2 linked regions of the Oreochromis niloticus genome follow. The protein of the gene in region 2 interacts with the protein of the main gene of each other region in a pairwise test. Links are inferred from orthologs where the notes say so. Each region holds a gene or a part of one and is shown on either strand. Other genes may lie near its edges.

What was found.
Region 1: the proteins of zc3h10 (region 2) and nfyal interact in binary tests that used the Homo sapiens proteins (3 or more experiments, as listed by UniProt). The two-hybrid records come from large-scale screens. The link is inferred for Oreochromis niloticus from reciprocal best matches to the Homo sapiens genes ZC3H10 and NFYA.

What each region holds. Positions count from the first base shown.
Region 1 is NC_031984.2:21,203,289-21,211,106, forward strand, and holds the start of nfyal (nuclear transcription factor Y, alpha, like), read right to left. Parts: upstream 3,145-7,818; 5' UTR 2,997-3,144; intron 2,991-2,996; exon of another isoform or gene 2,700-2,990; intron 2,226-2,699; 5' UTR 2,206-2,225; coding exon 2,125-2,205; intron 920-2,124; coding exon 833-919; intron 1-832. Other genes in the region: ngrn (neugrin), read left to right, coding at 3,592-3,827, 3,941-4,051, 4,134-4,710. UniProt on the Homo sapiens protein: Component of the sequence-specific heterotrimeric transcription factor (NF-Y) which specifically recognizes a 5'-CCAAT-3' box motif found in the promoters of its target genes.
Region 2 is NC_031970.2:23,961,678-23,970,010, forward strand, and holds the start of zc3h10 (zinc finger CCCH domain-containing protein 10), read left to right. Parts: upstream 1-4,650; 5' UTR 4,651-4,836; intron 4,837-5,208; 5' UTR 5,209-5,351; coding exon 5,352-6,497; intron 6,498-7,547; coding exon 7,548-8,060; 3' UTR 8,061-8,333. Other genes in the region: si:dkey-28n18.9 (sorting nexin-6), read right to left, coding at 1,673-1,780, 1,909-2,019, 2,247-2,252; dnaJ homolog subfamily B member 9, read right to left, coding at 2,798-3,093, 3,983-4,214. UniProt on the Homo sapiens protein: Specific regulator of miRNA biogenesis. Binds, via the C3H1-type zinc finger domains, to the binding motif 5'-GCAGCGC-3' on microRNA pri-MIR143 and negatively regulates the processing to mature microRNA.

The sequences.
Region 1 (7,818 bases), on a different chromosome or scaffold from region 2:
CACTTGTTGATCTCACGTTTTTTGTTTCCTAAAATACAAACATGAAAGCATCCTGTTACATAGCATAGATTGTTTCTGGACCCAATGTATCTAATTTATGTTTAATCATTTTTCTCATGAGCTTAGGCTACAAAAAATACAAAACTTCTGTATGTAGAATTTAGGTCTTGTATTTACAGCCATACTGCTACTGAAACAAGAGCTTACAAGAACTGAATTTGCTTACTGTACCTTTCTGGTCAAGATGTTGGTAAAATTAATTTGCATTTACATGTTCAACTTGGCAAGTACTGATGTTTCATCTTACATCCATAAAGTGACCACAGCGTACAAATTATGGTCTGTGGCAGCAGCAGCAGCAGCAGCAGCATGACAGGAAAAAAAATTGCAAGGGCAACAGTACCTGCTGACATTATTCAGCACAACAGTAAGAAAAATATCAGACTATGATGAACAGTGGCAGCCAGTAATGGATGTGGATCCATGCAGACCTCAGAAAGATGTTCTGTTGTATATTCTGCATATTTTTCTCCACAGCCATCGGCACTTGAGAACAAGAACGTCTGACTTTCTAAACTTGCTTTTAATAGCAAGAGACAAGCACAACTCAGTTTAGACAGCCATGAGAACAAAAGCAATAACTGGAGGCTGACACACAAAACACTGTGCTGAGGAACGTGCAGTTGCAAGACATGCTTGGGAGGGAAATGATGAACCAAACAGCACAGATGGGTCCTGGAAAAATAAAAATACAAACAGCCCTGGCTATGGCATGCAAACCGGTAGGCTGTGAAACAGTCATGACACTGACACAGGGCGGCGGTGACACCACTACCTGGAGTGTCTGCACCTGCTGGCCTGAGGCCGTCACCACTGGCGCCTCTGTTTGCAGCTGCACAGCCGTCACTGTGCCTTGTGTCTGCAGGCAGGGCAGGATACAGACTCATACATACAGACTCAACAACAAAGTACCAAGAAAATAAATTGGAACTGGATTACTGCATCTCAAATAATCTTTTTTTTTTTTAAAAAAAACAAAAAAAACTATGTATAGTCAACCATTTCTGATTTGCATAAAAATTATATGGTCTGAAGCTTGGACATATATATAATGCCTGCTTTGAAGTGTTAGCTTCATATATGAAATATTTCTAGATTTGTTTATTTTAAAAGGCCAGTAAACCCAGTTTTCTGCCTTTTAGGCAGAAAAAATCTGCACACTGAAAACTCAAGCAAAGTTTGAACATAATTACCTTAAAAACTTGACCTGAAAAGTTAAAAAGTTTGCATATTTTAAAACAATTATTTTCTTGGTTATAGGTAGAGTAATTACAAAAGATCTGTTCTATTTAGATTATTAATATTTTTGTGGTATAAATGTGTGTCATGTTTTCTCAATCCAGCATGAAACTTGAATGAAAATAGCATCTTCTTCATGTTTGTGACCGAGGATTTCATGTTAAAAATTATTATACATGTTATTTTTCATTATTGTGAAGTACAGCTATATATCGTTAAGAAATTGTCACTAGTTGTCTTTTACAATGTGAATTTTTTTTTATTAATCTTTACTCAAATATTAGACTTTGCAGGACTGCTTTTAATTTTTCTCATATCTGATCTAGCCAATTTCTCTCTCCCAATTTACAGATGCTGGTTCAGTTTAATGAATCGAGAGTTTAGTAAAGAATTTCACTTTTATCTTTAATAGTGTTAAAGATATCCATGTTCAAACATTGCCTCGGATTTCAAAGCGTGAAAAAAAAAAAAAAAAAAACATGCTGAAAGTGGGTTGATGGGACATTTTTCAAAAAAATTTATATCTTAATAAATAGTTGATATCACTCTCAATAATACTTAGATCACAGGTATCACGACTTATATTTATACACACAGGTAATCCCTGGACCATAAACTTTTAGGGCAAATTGGGAGGACTGATCAGAAATGACACCATGATTTGAGATCCAATGATCCAACTGGAATCCCTAAAACTTTATTTTATTTTGACCCTCTGGTATTCATAATCTTACTACATATTAGTTCATATCTGGTGGTAGGGTAATTTTAAAAAAAATAATTAATTAATTAAAAAAGGAATAAAATTGTCGACCCTAAGCTCACCTGCTGCTGGATCTGTCCATTAGCTGTCTGAACAACAATCTGCTCTCCAGTAGTAGTGGTGGCAGTGGTGTACTGCTCCATGGCTTTTTACCGTGAAAAACCTGATGAGGCAAAGACAAAACATACAAATGAGCCAATATTGGATTTCTATGGTTTACAGTGCATTTTATATGTAAACAAATGATCTTTTTTTTTTTTACGACGACAAAAAAACCCCCGTCTTTTTAACCGATATCTACGTGTTTTCAATTCATTGGTCTCAATATTTAAAGAGGACCTTATAGTGCTTCCTCACACCGACTTGTGTCGCATTGTGTCAAATGTGAAGTCTACGAATTTCAGCTGAAACATGATCCCCCCAGGAGGACACAGCTGTGTCAGCTGCTGGACTCCTTCAAAGGGGAATTTTATTTAGCGGGTATTTTACTGGGGAAGCTAACACGGCTAGCGCCAGTCCGCTAGCTAAAAGCGTGGTAAATTCTAGAAAGCGCATAAGGATACTATTTGTGTCGTCAACTCCGAACGTGGATATTTTCTTGTGGGCAGCTTGTTTATTACAGCTCATTATAATGTACCTGGCAGTGTTTGCTGACGGTCGAACGGTGGCTTTATTCCCACTCTCTTTGTTCGAGAAACGATATTTTAGCGAAGAAGCTAACGCTAGCTAAGGCTTGTGGACCAAGCGGGGATCATGTTTCCTCGCGGTGGCCAACGCTAGAAACATGAAGCTATTTGTAGGTCTTGGGACGCAGCGGTCGAAATCAAACTGCAATTTGAGTTTTTTGCATTAAGCAGGGTTAGTAATTTGGTTGGTCCATGACAAACCAATCCGTGCTGACAACTACCAATGCCTTCAATCGGGGCTTCCTTACCGTATCTTCGCTGTCCGGTTTCCCTCTGATTGGCTCCAGTACAGCTTGCTAAAGCCCAATCAACAAAGTGAGCGGACAAAATGGCGCAAATGAAACAACGGCGACTGGGAGAGAGGTGCGCAGCTGCGTGACACTTGAACAGGGGGGCGAGGCAGCGTTGCAGTGTCCCCTCGGCAGATGTCGCCATTTAGTTTGAGTTTTCTTATTTTAGCGGACTTCTCCTGACTTGTATTATTTATGTTAACTGCTATTCGATTATGTTATCAGTGGAAATTATTCTCGCATCAGTACCGTTAAACCTGCAACGCGTGCAATTTAAGTAGTGTTATGGTCGAGGTAACCACCTTTGTTCAGCACAGGGACACGTAATAATGTTACCTCCGTAGCGCTAGTTGGCAGTAGAGCGCCGATTTTATGCTATGAGCCCAGTGTTTGCGGAAGTACTTCTACGAGTGGTACCATGAGTGCGTGAGCAGCAAGGTTATGTTTAATTTATAGTAAAATAAGTTTTTGTTATCATGACACCTAAGTGACTCCCTAAAAAACAAGAAAAGAAAAACGAAAGAGAAAAAAGGACGACACATCGTTTATTGGCATGGCCAGGTCTGTGCAGATACTCTCCCTCCTCTCCAAGTTTGGTGCTTCATCTCTGATTCCCTCAGTGAGTGCTAGCAACTGCCGATTTGCAAGCAGAGGGGCCAGCAAGGCACGGATGGGACAGGGCCCTGCGCAGGCAGACAAAGGATCAAGCAGACCAGGATACAGCGATGAGACATCTAATGGAGAACTCGAGCTGGAGGACGTGGAGGACAAACTGCAAGCTTTAATTCAGTAAGATTCAGTAGGACTTTTCACACATTTCTCCAGTGTAAAACGATGTTAAATAATAAATATATGGTGTCTTTATGACAAGATATATTAAATATTCTGGGGATTTGTTTCAGGGAAGAGAGAAAAAGACAGAAGACTGTGAAGTATCACATATTAAGGAGGCAGATGACACCATCAGGAGCTCCAGAGAGGAGGTTAACCTGGGATGCCATTGAGCAGATCAGGTGAGGATGAGGGTTAAGTTTGTCCAGATGGTAAACTAAGAAGTGTTTTAAATTAAGCCTAATATGAAATCTCAATTTTCAGATATCTGAAGCAAAATCAGCCAGACGAGTGGACAGTAGAGCGTCTGGCTGAAGGCTTCTCTGTCAGCCATGATGTGATCCTGAGAGTCCTGAGAAGCAAATTCATCTCCTCTCCTGAAAGAAAAGCCAAGCAGAATGCAAAAGTAATGGCTAAAATGAGCCAGCAGGTGCTGCCTTCAGGTGCTAAGACACAGCAGGACAGGTTGAAACTGCCCGAAAGGAACTCACAAGCCATACTCCCACCTGGGAGCACAGAAGGTGCTTTGATCCCTGTGGCTAATCAGACTCAGGTGATTCAAGGTCATGGCTCACGTTCCCTAGCTAAGAGTCCTGTCCCTGTTACTGTTCAGCCCACACACATTGCAGCTGGTATTAGTGAAGATGCCACAGTGACAGAAACAACAGAGCGCAGCACTAATGAGAGTGAGCTTACAGAGGAGGATGAAGAGAGTTGGGATGGACAGGTGTTGACAGAGGAAGAACTTGAAGAGCTTATGAAAATGGAAAAGCCCTCTCCAGCAGTCCAAGTTGGGAATGATTTCTTTGATGCAGATGGAAACTTTTTGTATAGAATCTGAGAATATTTTGTGTTGTTAGCTCAGCATGTGCAATGTTGGGGTCATGCAAATTACCAAATAAAAGTTATTTTGAATCTTTGTGCAAAAGATATTTGCACTTATATATTTTTTCGTCCAGATATTTCACGCCCATTTCACCCATGTATTGACTTCCCAGTTTATCCCTGTGTCAATTTTTATATAAGTCATAGACAAATGCATTCACAGGCCACTTTATTAGGTGCACCTTGCTAGTACTGGGTTGGATCCCTTTCTGCCTTCAGAGCTGCTTTAAGTATTAGTGGCACAGATTCAACAAGGTGCTGGAAATATTCCTCAAAGATTTTGGCCCATATTGACATGATAGGAATTGTATGACATCATAAAGTCATACAATTGATGAAAATGTGATACATCCATGATGAAAACTTCCTGTTCCACAACATCCCAAAGGTACTCTATTGGTTTGACATATGGTGACTGTGGAGGCCATTTGAGTGCAGTGAACTCTGTCACGTTCAAGGAACGAGCCTGAGATGATTTGAGCTTTGGTATCCTACTGGTGGGTTTAACTTGTGCATACGTGGATGGATGCAGTCAGCAACAATACTCAGGTTAGATGTAATCTGACACTCTAGGGGCCCAAAGTCTGACAAGAAAGTATCTCCCACACCCTTACACCACAACCAGCAGCCCAAACTTGTGCCTTCAGAGATGCTCTTCTGCATACCTTTGTTGTAATGAGTGGTTATTGGAGTTATTGTTGCCTTCCTATCAGCTCCAAGCAGTCTGGCCATCAACAAGGCATTTTCACATAAAGAACAGAGATCACAGGATATTTTCTCTTTTTTGGACCATTCTCTGTAAATCCTAAATATGGTTGTTTTGGAAAATCCCAGTAGATCACCAGTTTCTGAAATACTCAGACCAGCCCATCTGGTACCAACATCCATTCAAAATTCAGAGTCAATTCAATTGCCCCCAAAGAAGCACTCAGATGCCAGAGGAATGATTACTGCAGTTGTTACACAACTACAATTTTGAACTTATCCTTTTAAAATCTTAAAACTGGGACGCTTTGTAAAATGTAAACAAAAACGGTATGCAGTGATCTGCAAATCTCAAAGCCACATTTCATCCACAGTCAAAGACACAAAACATCACATTTAAACTGAACCACCATGTACCATAACAAGAAAAATATTTTGAATTTGATGGTAACAAGACGTGTCCAAAAAGTTTGGAGAGTGCCATTATGTAACATCCCCTCTTTTTCTAACAAATGTGTTTTCTTTGTTCTACTGTGAATAAAATCTGGGTTCATGTGATTCTGTTTGTTTGGAACTAGGTTTTTATAAATCATGTGAAAATATCCCCAGTTGACAGTTACCCATTATTATTGTTAGTCTCACATTTCTGCATTACTGCCGTTTGTGACAAACCACCACGTAGCAAAAATAGAGGAACATATGAATTTATTGGCAAACCCAAAGAAAATTGTCTCAAATATACAGAAAAGAGAAACATATCAGATAAAAAGGTGTAACCTTGTATATGTACAGAACCATCACAATGACTTCTTCATTTATACAGCAGTTTTAAATTTTAAGAAAAAGTGTGTTACCTTCACCTATAGCAATAAATGGTCGTAATAAGAACTCGCCAGGTCTCTTCCAGTGTAAAGCAGCTACATGATAACCCTGTGTCCACTCTGCTTTTATTCAAGATCACTCTCTTGTCAAAGTAGCCAGTATTAAATCTCATACCAACATAGAAAAAAAAGAAAAAAAAAGAATAACCAAGTTATTACAGGTCATTTTCTTTTCACAGCTGTAGATATAAGTATTATTGAGAGTTAACATGCAGTTCGGTGGGAGCTCATATAAAACAGACATTTACTGCTCAAAAATTATTCTTAGGCAACAAGTGCAACTTAGAGATGTCACTGACATACAGGATGAAACTGATTACATATCAGATGATATAAATTAAAAAAATAAAAAATAAAAAAAATCAGTAAATAGATGCTGGCCACACATTAGGTCCTCACACCAGGCACTTGTATAACCACATCCAATTTACTGCACTCTGAACCAGCTTTTCACCAATAAATTAAACTTTAAAACAAGACAGACAAATAATTGTGCAACAAATGTTTAACAAAACAACAACATGAGACGGAGTCGTTAAGACTGATTAAAAACAAAACAGTAGTTCACTACAGCTTCAAATTCAGAGATCCACCCACCAAACAAAACAGTCTTGGCATGGCTTTGGCTCTTATCCAGCCATGGTTACAGCAGGAGTTATGCTATTTTCATATTGCTATATTTCCAGATATTGATTAACTTGGTTATATGTTTGTGTGGTTTAAAAAATTATGTAATTCTGTAATTTTTACTCTAAAACTATATTTTTGAACTGCAATCTGTCAATTGTTATATAATTTGCAAAAATTGATTAGTACCAAAACTGCTGAAATTGTTACAAACATGACAATTATACGACTACAGTGATCATTTGTCTCATCACAATAGATCAGGTTTAAGAAAAATGTTATACTACAAACTCTTAGCATTACAGGAGGCCTTGTGCTTTAGGCAATTAGAACTGCAGACAACATTTTAAACAATTTCTGTCCTGAAACAGACATACTTTACTACCCTTGCAGTTAATGCACAATGTGTTATGCACAACGACATCGATTCATCCAACAAACCTAAAAATATCATGTTACTACAGGTTTTTTTTGATGTGCACGGAGAATTTTATTGCTATAAAATGCTATGGAAATGGAAATTTCCACATGCCTTATTACTTTAAAGAAGAAGTGTGCCAAACATTTGGACGCTGGTATTCCAAATACAAGATTTCACATTTTGGTCAGGCTTAAGATCCCAAATTTATAGGGCCCTCAATATTGAAGGACAGTTTTTGACAAACAAATAGTTTTTTAAAAGTAGGTTAAGAGTCAAGTGTTCCAAAAGAATTACCAACCATTCAACAACCCTTTTTTTGTTTTGCTTTTTTAAACACTTACCAAACTGATACCACATCAAAAAATGGCAAAGAAAAACAGGTTTATGTACAAGTGCATGAGAAAAGAAGTGTGAAATATTTCCAGGTGCA
Region 2 (8,333 bases):
AGAAGGAGGACACAGGAAGGAAAAGCAGGAAGGACTTTAAACAACAAAAAGCAGTACAAACATGGCAAGAAGAAAGTACACTCTTTTAATTCTTTACATACCAGGACACAATAAAAGTCATCTGGACCTTGGTGGGTTTAAATAATTTAACTTTAAACTCATCGTTATCATTATTTAAACACAACATCAAATACACAACAATACATGGCATATTACACTGTGTCTTTATTCATTTGACCCTTGTGTGGTGTTCATGTTTTGGTTACTCAGCCCATGTTTGTGGGTCTGGGTGAATCCAGTGCATTTGGGGGGTTTTGAATCTATGCAGCCATAAAGATTTGTGTAGAAATACTTAACAGATGTTCACTTTTTCCCAGTTCCAGGAAATTCATCAGCAATAGTGGTTGCTCATCAGTCTGGGAAGGGTTATGAAAGCTATTACCAGAGAATTTGAAGTTCATCTTTTTACTGTGAGAAAGCTTATTGACAAGTTCAAGACAGCTGCCAATATTCCCAGGAGTGGACATCCCACCCAGCCCACCAGGGCTGACTGCAATCTATGGAAAAATCTCAAGAGCTAGCTTGTTAAATGTTAAAGGTCAGGAGAGTAAATTTAGAAAAAGACTGCACAAATATGGGTTGTTTGGAAAGTTTGCAAGGTTTGCAAAGCCTCTTCTTGCACAGCTTAGCATTGTTGCATTTGTACAAATCACAAGACTTTGGGAACAATATCCTTCAGACAGACACGGCCACAGTGGAGGTGTTTGGCCATAATGTGCATCGCCACATTTGGACGAATAAAATCAAACACAGCATATCAAGACAAACACCTCCTAACAACTGCTACGCATGGTGGTGGAGGAGAGATGTTTTCTGTACACTAAAGAATTCTAGAGTCAGATGTGAGACCATCTGTCCAACAAAACCTAAAACCTGGCCCAAACTGGGTCCTACAACAGGACAATGATGCCAAGCACACAAGCAAATCTATCACAGAATTGCTGAAGAAGAAAAGAAAGAAAAGGTGTTGCAACGACCCAAAGTCCAGACATCAACCTGACCTAAATGCTGTGGTGGGACCTTAAGAGAGCTGTGCATAAATGAATGCCTAAAAAACTTGATGAAATGAAATCACATTATAAAGAAGAATGGGTCTAGATTTCTCCACAATAATGTAAGAGACTGATAAAGTCTTACAGAAAAACATTATTCCAAGTTATTCCTGCCAAAAGGTGGTTCAAGCTATATAATCAAGGGTTGTACTTAGTTTTTCTCACACTGCTTCTGCTTGACAGAGTTTTTGTTACATAAATGATTTCATTCTGTAATATGTCATGTGCTATTGTTCATGTGAGGTTGAACTTCTAAGGACTGGATAATTTATTATATCCTGACATTTAAATACAAGAACTGAAAGAGGGTTTACTTTTTTTTAACCATGACTGTATCTTGGATAGAAACAGCACATTTTCTTAGCAGCAACAGAATCAGTCGATGAATTGAATTGGTCTGAAAGTTTCTCCGTAGTTTCAAGCTAGCACTTGCTGTACACACAAAAAGGCTGTTCCAAGATTCAACATTTGTGGCACTAAAGCCACCAGTACTCCAGCCCTGATCAAGTTATTGTCAAATAAGCACATATAAACTATATTCAAGAATAACAAGTACTGACTATGACTCCCTGTATCCCTGGCACATCCTCCTGAGAGAACAAGTGCTGCTGCAGCCATTCAAAATCCTCATAGGTCCGGTCCACATGGTACTCCCCTGTACCAGAGAGCTGGAACAGAAAGGAAAGACAACCAACTGCTTTTGGAAAATCATAGTTCAAATAAATAGGCTGACAAATTCTATGGTTCTTGTGTCATTCGCCTGGATCTAACCAGATGACAGTTTAATGAATCTCACCTTTTGAGATACGATGATAAAGGTGAGAGTGTCCCCGTCTTTCAACACCTCTGTAACTTTGATGCTGTCGTCATGGACACTCAGAACAGATGCCGCTTCTTTCACTTCTTCCTGCAATTAAAAAAACAAAGCGGTCAAAAGCAGTACAGCACAGCAGAAGCAGTCAAATGGCTTCAGTACAGGCTGAGATTAAAGTCACATTCATGCGCAAACTAAATTTAAAGGGAGAACAAAACATAGTTCAGGACACTGTACTCATGAATGTCTGCGAGGAGTAAAAGCCTGTCACATGACACTCAGAGGCTTACAAATCCTGTAAAATCTACAGGCGTACTCACCATCATTGTCAGCTTTGCAAACTAGCAGTCTATCTTTTATCTGCCTTTGTGGTTTGTCCTTTTCGCGTGTTAAAAGTACATAAAACTGGAAAGAGCTTTTGCCTGTTGCCTTTTAGTCTGCTCGAGCTCCAAGTGTTGAGAATGCACAGGATATCCTTTGGGTCAAAGTGCACAATGGTCCCATGAGAAATGGAGTAAAACGGTGCCAAATCTAAAGTGCTGGCGCAAGGAAAAAGATGAGTAAATAGTGTGTTAGTGAGTAACTCTGGACCTTCGACACACCCACACAGGAAAAGTGGCATAACGGCTCAGTCGGTTATCTAGCAGCCAGCCTTACAACCCCACAGCTGCTGAATTTATAAGTGAGCTCATAAAAGGGGGAAGAATGCAAACAGGTTCAAAGGGTCTGTTTAGGTGATTTTTTTTTTTTACATAATGAATACTAGAAACAGATACTGAGAGAGCATTTTAGACAGAATACTTTATTATCGATAAAAGAAAACATGTTAAAAGGTTACAGTCATTCCAAGTACAGGGCAAAAAAAAACCTTTTAGAAGTAGTACTCTTCTTCATATTCATCTGGATCGCCAAAATAAAAGCTAAATCTCTCCCCCTCAAAACTGTAGGGTTCATAACGACCATCCTCCTCATCCTCTTCCTGGTGAAAGCCCCACTGTCCACCAAAGAGACTGTCATCAAAGTCGTGGAAGACGTCTGAGAAGCTGAAGTGGAAGCTTGTCTGATACTCATCCTCAGGCTTGACTAGGTCCTCATTTTTCAGGAAAGCTTCGTGGCCCACACGGTCATACACCCTCCTTTGCTCCTTGTTTGAGAGGACTGTGTAGGCTAAGGAAAGACAGTTAGAGGGGAAAAGGTCAACTTTGGTGATGGAGGGGTGTGGTTGCAAACAAGCAACCACAACGCCTGGGCACCTGGCAGTCACTGACTCAACTATGAACTAGTCTGTGTACCAAAGTCCTCTAGAGTCAAATGGTAAAGCTAAAGCTGCTCAGACATCAACCTGTGTGAAATGTTAGAGAGTAGCTAAACTAAACTAGCAGCTTAACTTCGTTTTGCAAGAGTCAGCTGGCCTCCAGTTATTTACATCTTTTTTTTTTTTATGTAGTTGACTTCTAAACCTTGAAACACTAATAATGGACCAGAAAAGTTGCTTCTTTAAAAAGCCCCACCCCTGCTGCTCTGTGAAATCCCGTTTAGGCAATGCATTTATCAGATCATCAATGTCAGAGCTTTGCATCCACAACAGGCACTTGCAGAAGAGCAGGTCAAACAGTGACATTGACCGATTAATAATAAACCTCCATAAATCACCAGCTATTCATGGAAGTTATTGCATGCAATTTAATAAGGTACCTTACTGAGCTTATTTGCTTCTTAAAGAGCCTGTTTGATGGGAATAACAAGTACATTTTTGCACTTTTGCCAGGAAGAACAGCGATTTTTTTTAAACAGGGGGAATTTTTTTCTGAAATCACACTTCCATTTATTTTTTAACTACTATTTTTAAACTTTTTTTTGAGTAGTTTTAGTTAACTTAACTCCATATGGTGGCTTTGTTGTACCTCAGCTTCTTCCATAGTGAAGTAATTTTTAGTTTACTATAAAATATTGTACTAATGATAATATTGATAATAGTAATAAAACCGTTCACGTATTTACACTGTAAAATGTAAACGTTTCAGTGTGTCGGAGGAGGCATCCTTTCATCCTTTACCTTCAGCAATCTCCCTGAAGGTCTTCTCAGCATCTGCGCTCTTGTTCTTATCAGGGTGGTACTTCACGGCCAGTTTTCGGAAAGACTTTTTTATCTCGCTGTCCGTTGCTGTTGGCTCAACATGAAGAGTGTCGTAGTAATTTCTGTTTATCTCTTCGGACAAGGCTTCAGATAGACAGAGCAGCAGAAGCATGCAGGGTCGCAGCCAGTAGGAAGCACCTTGCACTGCCATGTCGAGGAGCGCCCCAGCACAGAGAGAGTGAGGAGGAACTCAAAACAAACGTCGTCATGTGCACAACAGTTTATCTCGAAGTGTGGCAGACCTTGTGGTTTAGCGTCTCATTTTCATATCCACACAACGCCGTAAAGCCTCCACGTCAGCACTGTGTTTGTAGTACGAGTACACCAAAAGTAGCAGTTGTTGGTGTATTTACGACAATTTCTGTGGAGCTTACGACAAAAACAGGGGCACGAAAGAAAAAAGTGACCTCGTTTACAGACTTTGCAAGACTCCGTGAATCCAACTTTACGTCGTGCACGAAATTATTTCGTGGTTTTAAAAGTGACCAAATAATGAACACGCTAAGGTGGTGTTCCGCATTTCCACCAATAGAGGGCAGAAAATCCCAATCAGCGAAAAAATAAGGAAGACGCCGGCGCTCTTCTTCGTTGGTATTGAAAGCTGCATGAAGAAAAGTGGTAAACAGCACCAGGGCCTCGAGGAACTGCTAAAAATAACGCAAGTTTTTTTTTGCTTTTGTTAGCAGCGGTGTCTGTTGACTCAGTTAGAGGAAGTTGTTTCTTCGTGGGAGCTTCTCAGCTGTACTTTGGATCCTTCTCTATCCTTCGATTTGGTAAGACTACAGTAGTACCCAGTTAGCTAGATGTTCGCTAGCCATTAGCTACCCATGGTAGACGACGGTTTCGTAGCACCATTTTAGGCTAACCTATTCTGGAATATAATACGACAGAGTATGCATTATTTACTGGTTGAAATCCGTTGCATTTAATTTATTTGATGTTTTGTAGTGTTTTACCAAAGAACCATGTAAACAGAAGCGAGGCTATTTATTGTTTACGACGTGTTGTCACGTGCTAAATATCTGTCCCAACCTTCTCTAAGGTAATCATTTACATGTCCTATTGTCTTTCATGTCGATATTCAAATCTCCCCCTTTAGTTCTATCGCCAGTGTCTCATGCTGGGTTCGTGTTTTTGTCTTGCAGGTAATTAAACGGCAGATTGCAATACTTCGAGTGTGAAGAAACAATTAATGACTACTACTGTGTATGTGAATGTTTACCAGCTCACATTTGCCATTCCCAAACACACATGAGTGCTCCTTTCTCCTTGAGCTGGGCCGAGCGCCATGCCTGACCGGGACAGTTCCTACCTGTCAGGTGGTGGTGGGAGTGGTGGTAGTCTGGGTGAAGAAGGGGGACCCGGGTCTGGTTTGGCAGGGAGTGCGGCAGAGGGCAGAGGAGGTTCGGGAAGTAGTGTTGGAGGAAGCGTCTCTGGCTCTGGGGGTATGGGTGGAGGAGGAGCGCTCGGAAATGGCAACAGCTATGGGAACGGTGGAGGCCAAGGTGCTGGACTGGCCTTGGATGGCGTCTGCAGGGACTTCATACGCAATGTTTGCAAGAGAGGGAAGCGCTGCCGCTTCAGACACCCAGACTTTAACGAGGTGCCAGACTTGGGAGTGCAGAAGAACGAATTCATCTTTTGTCACGATCATCAAAATAAGGAGTGCATGCGCTCCAACTGTCGCTTTGTCCACGGATCCAAAGAGGATGAGGACTATTACAAGAAGACAGGAGAGTTACCTCTCAGACTAAGAGGGAAAGTTGCTGCACGGCTAGGCCTCTCCCCCATGGACCTCCCCCATAGCCGCGGTGAGGTTCCCATCTGTAGAGACTTCCTGAAGGGAGAGTGCCAGAGGGGCAATAAATGTAAATTTCGCCATGTCAAAAAAGACTGTGAATATGAACCAACCAGGGTTGGAGTGAGTGGCATTATGGGGCCAGGTGTCAGTGGCATTGTGAATGCTGGAGGAGGCATGGGTGGAGGAGGAGGTGCTTGCGGAGGAATGCAGGGACTTGTGGGAGGTGGCGCAGGGGGTGGAGGTAATATGATGGGGACCAGCTGCCCCGGCTTGGGTGGTTGCAGAGATCCAGGTATCTCAGGTCTTGGAGGAGTTGGTGGAAGTGGAATGAGTGGGTGTCTGTCCATAAGTTCATCCGGACAGCGACGTTATGACAGGAGCACATGCTCAATGTTTGACCCTCTGGTTGAAAGTAGTCTGTTTGATGCTGGTTCCCTGGAGGCCTCTATGGACCACACCACTCTACAGTTAAAGAGGCGACGGTTGGAGGGGCTGCGTCTGACAGATGGGAGTGGAGGTGGGCACTACGAGTTGGGAGTTCAAGCCACCTTGCCACCTCGTCCTCTGGAGTACAGATTCCTAGAGGAAGAAAATTCCCTGCTAAGGAAGAGAGTGGAAGAATTGAAAAAGCAGGTAGGTATAAGAATGATATTATGACTTCCTGGGAATGGAGTCATGCCACCGATGCAGGACGTAAATGGCTTCAGTCATTTTTATTTATTTTTTTACTGAGATACATGCAAAACAAGCATTGCCAAATTCCAACTAAACAGAAACTTTTTTGAGGTATTTTATGACACATCCTGGAAAGATTAAAGTATTTTCAAAATAACCAGTTCAAAGAAAAGGCCGATCCAAACAGCATCTCAGCGATATATCCAAAAATCCACCAGAATTATTGTCCCATGTTTGTTAGAAGTGTGATTAGGTGTCTGGTGACAGACTTGCATATTAAAATTCCAGCGATCAACAGTTTACATTAACATTACAATAAAAATGTAAATATCAGGTGAAAGGAGTTGGCGACAAAGGAGGACTTTATTTCATGTAGTTACAATTAAGCAAACTTTGCTGATCTAAACAAAGAATCATCCAGGAACCTATTTATTTGTTGCTTCTTCCTTTTGGAGGATGCTAATGACACATTTTTGTGTTGCTGGGCTCTTTTTCAACATTTAAATCACATCATATCAGATGGGATTTAAATGTTGGAAAAGAACCCAGGAACACACTGTTAAAATGGTTGATGTTATTAGTAAGAACTGAGATCATCTGATGTCCAGAAGCACAGAATTTAGACTGCTGTAAATGCTCTGCCTATTGGCCAGAATAGTGGACTTGAAGGGGAATGAGTTACTGAAGAGTTAATATGAAGTGACGGCTGTGCAGGAGTAAATGGGGAAAAATTTGTTTCCCCTTTAGTCACCTGACAAAAAGGCCCACTGGATGTTTTGGGGGTAAAAGGAAAAGACACTGTAACATCATGAGACACACAAACACTCAGATTCTGCAGTTTTTTGCCTTCTCTTTCTGTAAAACTATGATTAGTTAACATGAAGTGTAAGACTACTTGTAAATGATTTCCTTTAAACCTTTGCGTATTTCAAATATTTAATGTCTCTGTGTTTCCTGTCATGAACTTTCTGCCTGTTTATACTAAGCTCTTTCTTATGTGTTTTTCAGGTTTCCAATCTCATTGCCACCAATGAGGTTCTTCTGGAGCAGAACGCCCAGTTCCGAAGCCAGGCCAAAGTGATGACACTGTCTTCAACTCCTGCACCCACTGAGCAGAATCTGGCGCCCCCCGTAGGGTCCGTGAGTTCCTACAACCATAGCATCGCCCAGACTCACACCACCTTGAGCAGTGCTCCGTTACAAGCTCGGCCAGTCACCCAGCAAGACCTCGTAGCTCCCGCTGGTGCCCCTGCAGCCCCCCCAACCAATGCAGCCCCACCCACAGCTCCTCCGCCACACCTCAATCCTGAGATAACCCCCCTCTCAGCCGCCCTCGCACAGACCATTGCCCAGGGAATGGCACCCCCTGTTTCTATGGCGCCAGTGGCAGTATCTGTGGCACCTGTGGCAGTGTCCATGACTCAGCCAATTCCCGGGATCACGATGAGTCACGCCACCACCCCAATGGTGTCGTACCCAATTGCAAGTCAAAGCATGAGGATCACAACCCTGCAACACTGAATGAATGCAGGGGCCGTAATACCCATGAGCCGAACTGGAAATGTACTTGAACTTTAATGGGTTTTGATTTTTTACACAGATGGATTTTTTTGTCTGTGTATGAGACTCAGATGTTTGAACAATGAGAGATGTGCGATAGAGACACTTCTTTTTCTCCACCAGGGGTCAGGATAAAAGCTTATCCTTCTCTAAATCAGAACTATGTTCTATGGCAACGTTACAAATGTTGAGGGTTTTGGGGTTTTTTTGTTTTGTTTTCGCAGATTGACTGAC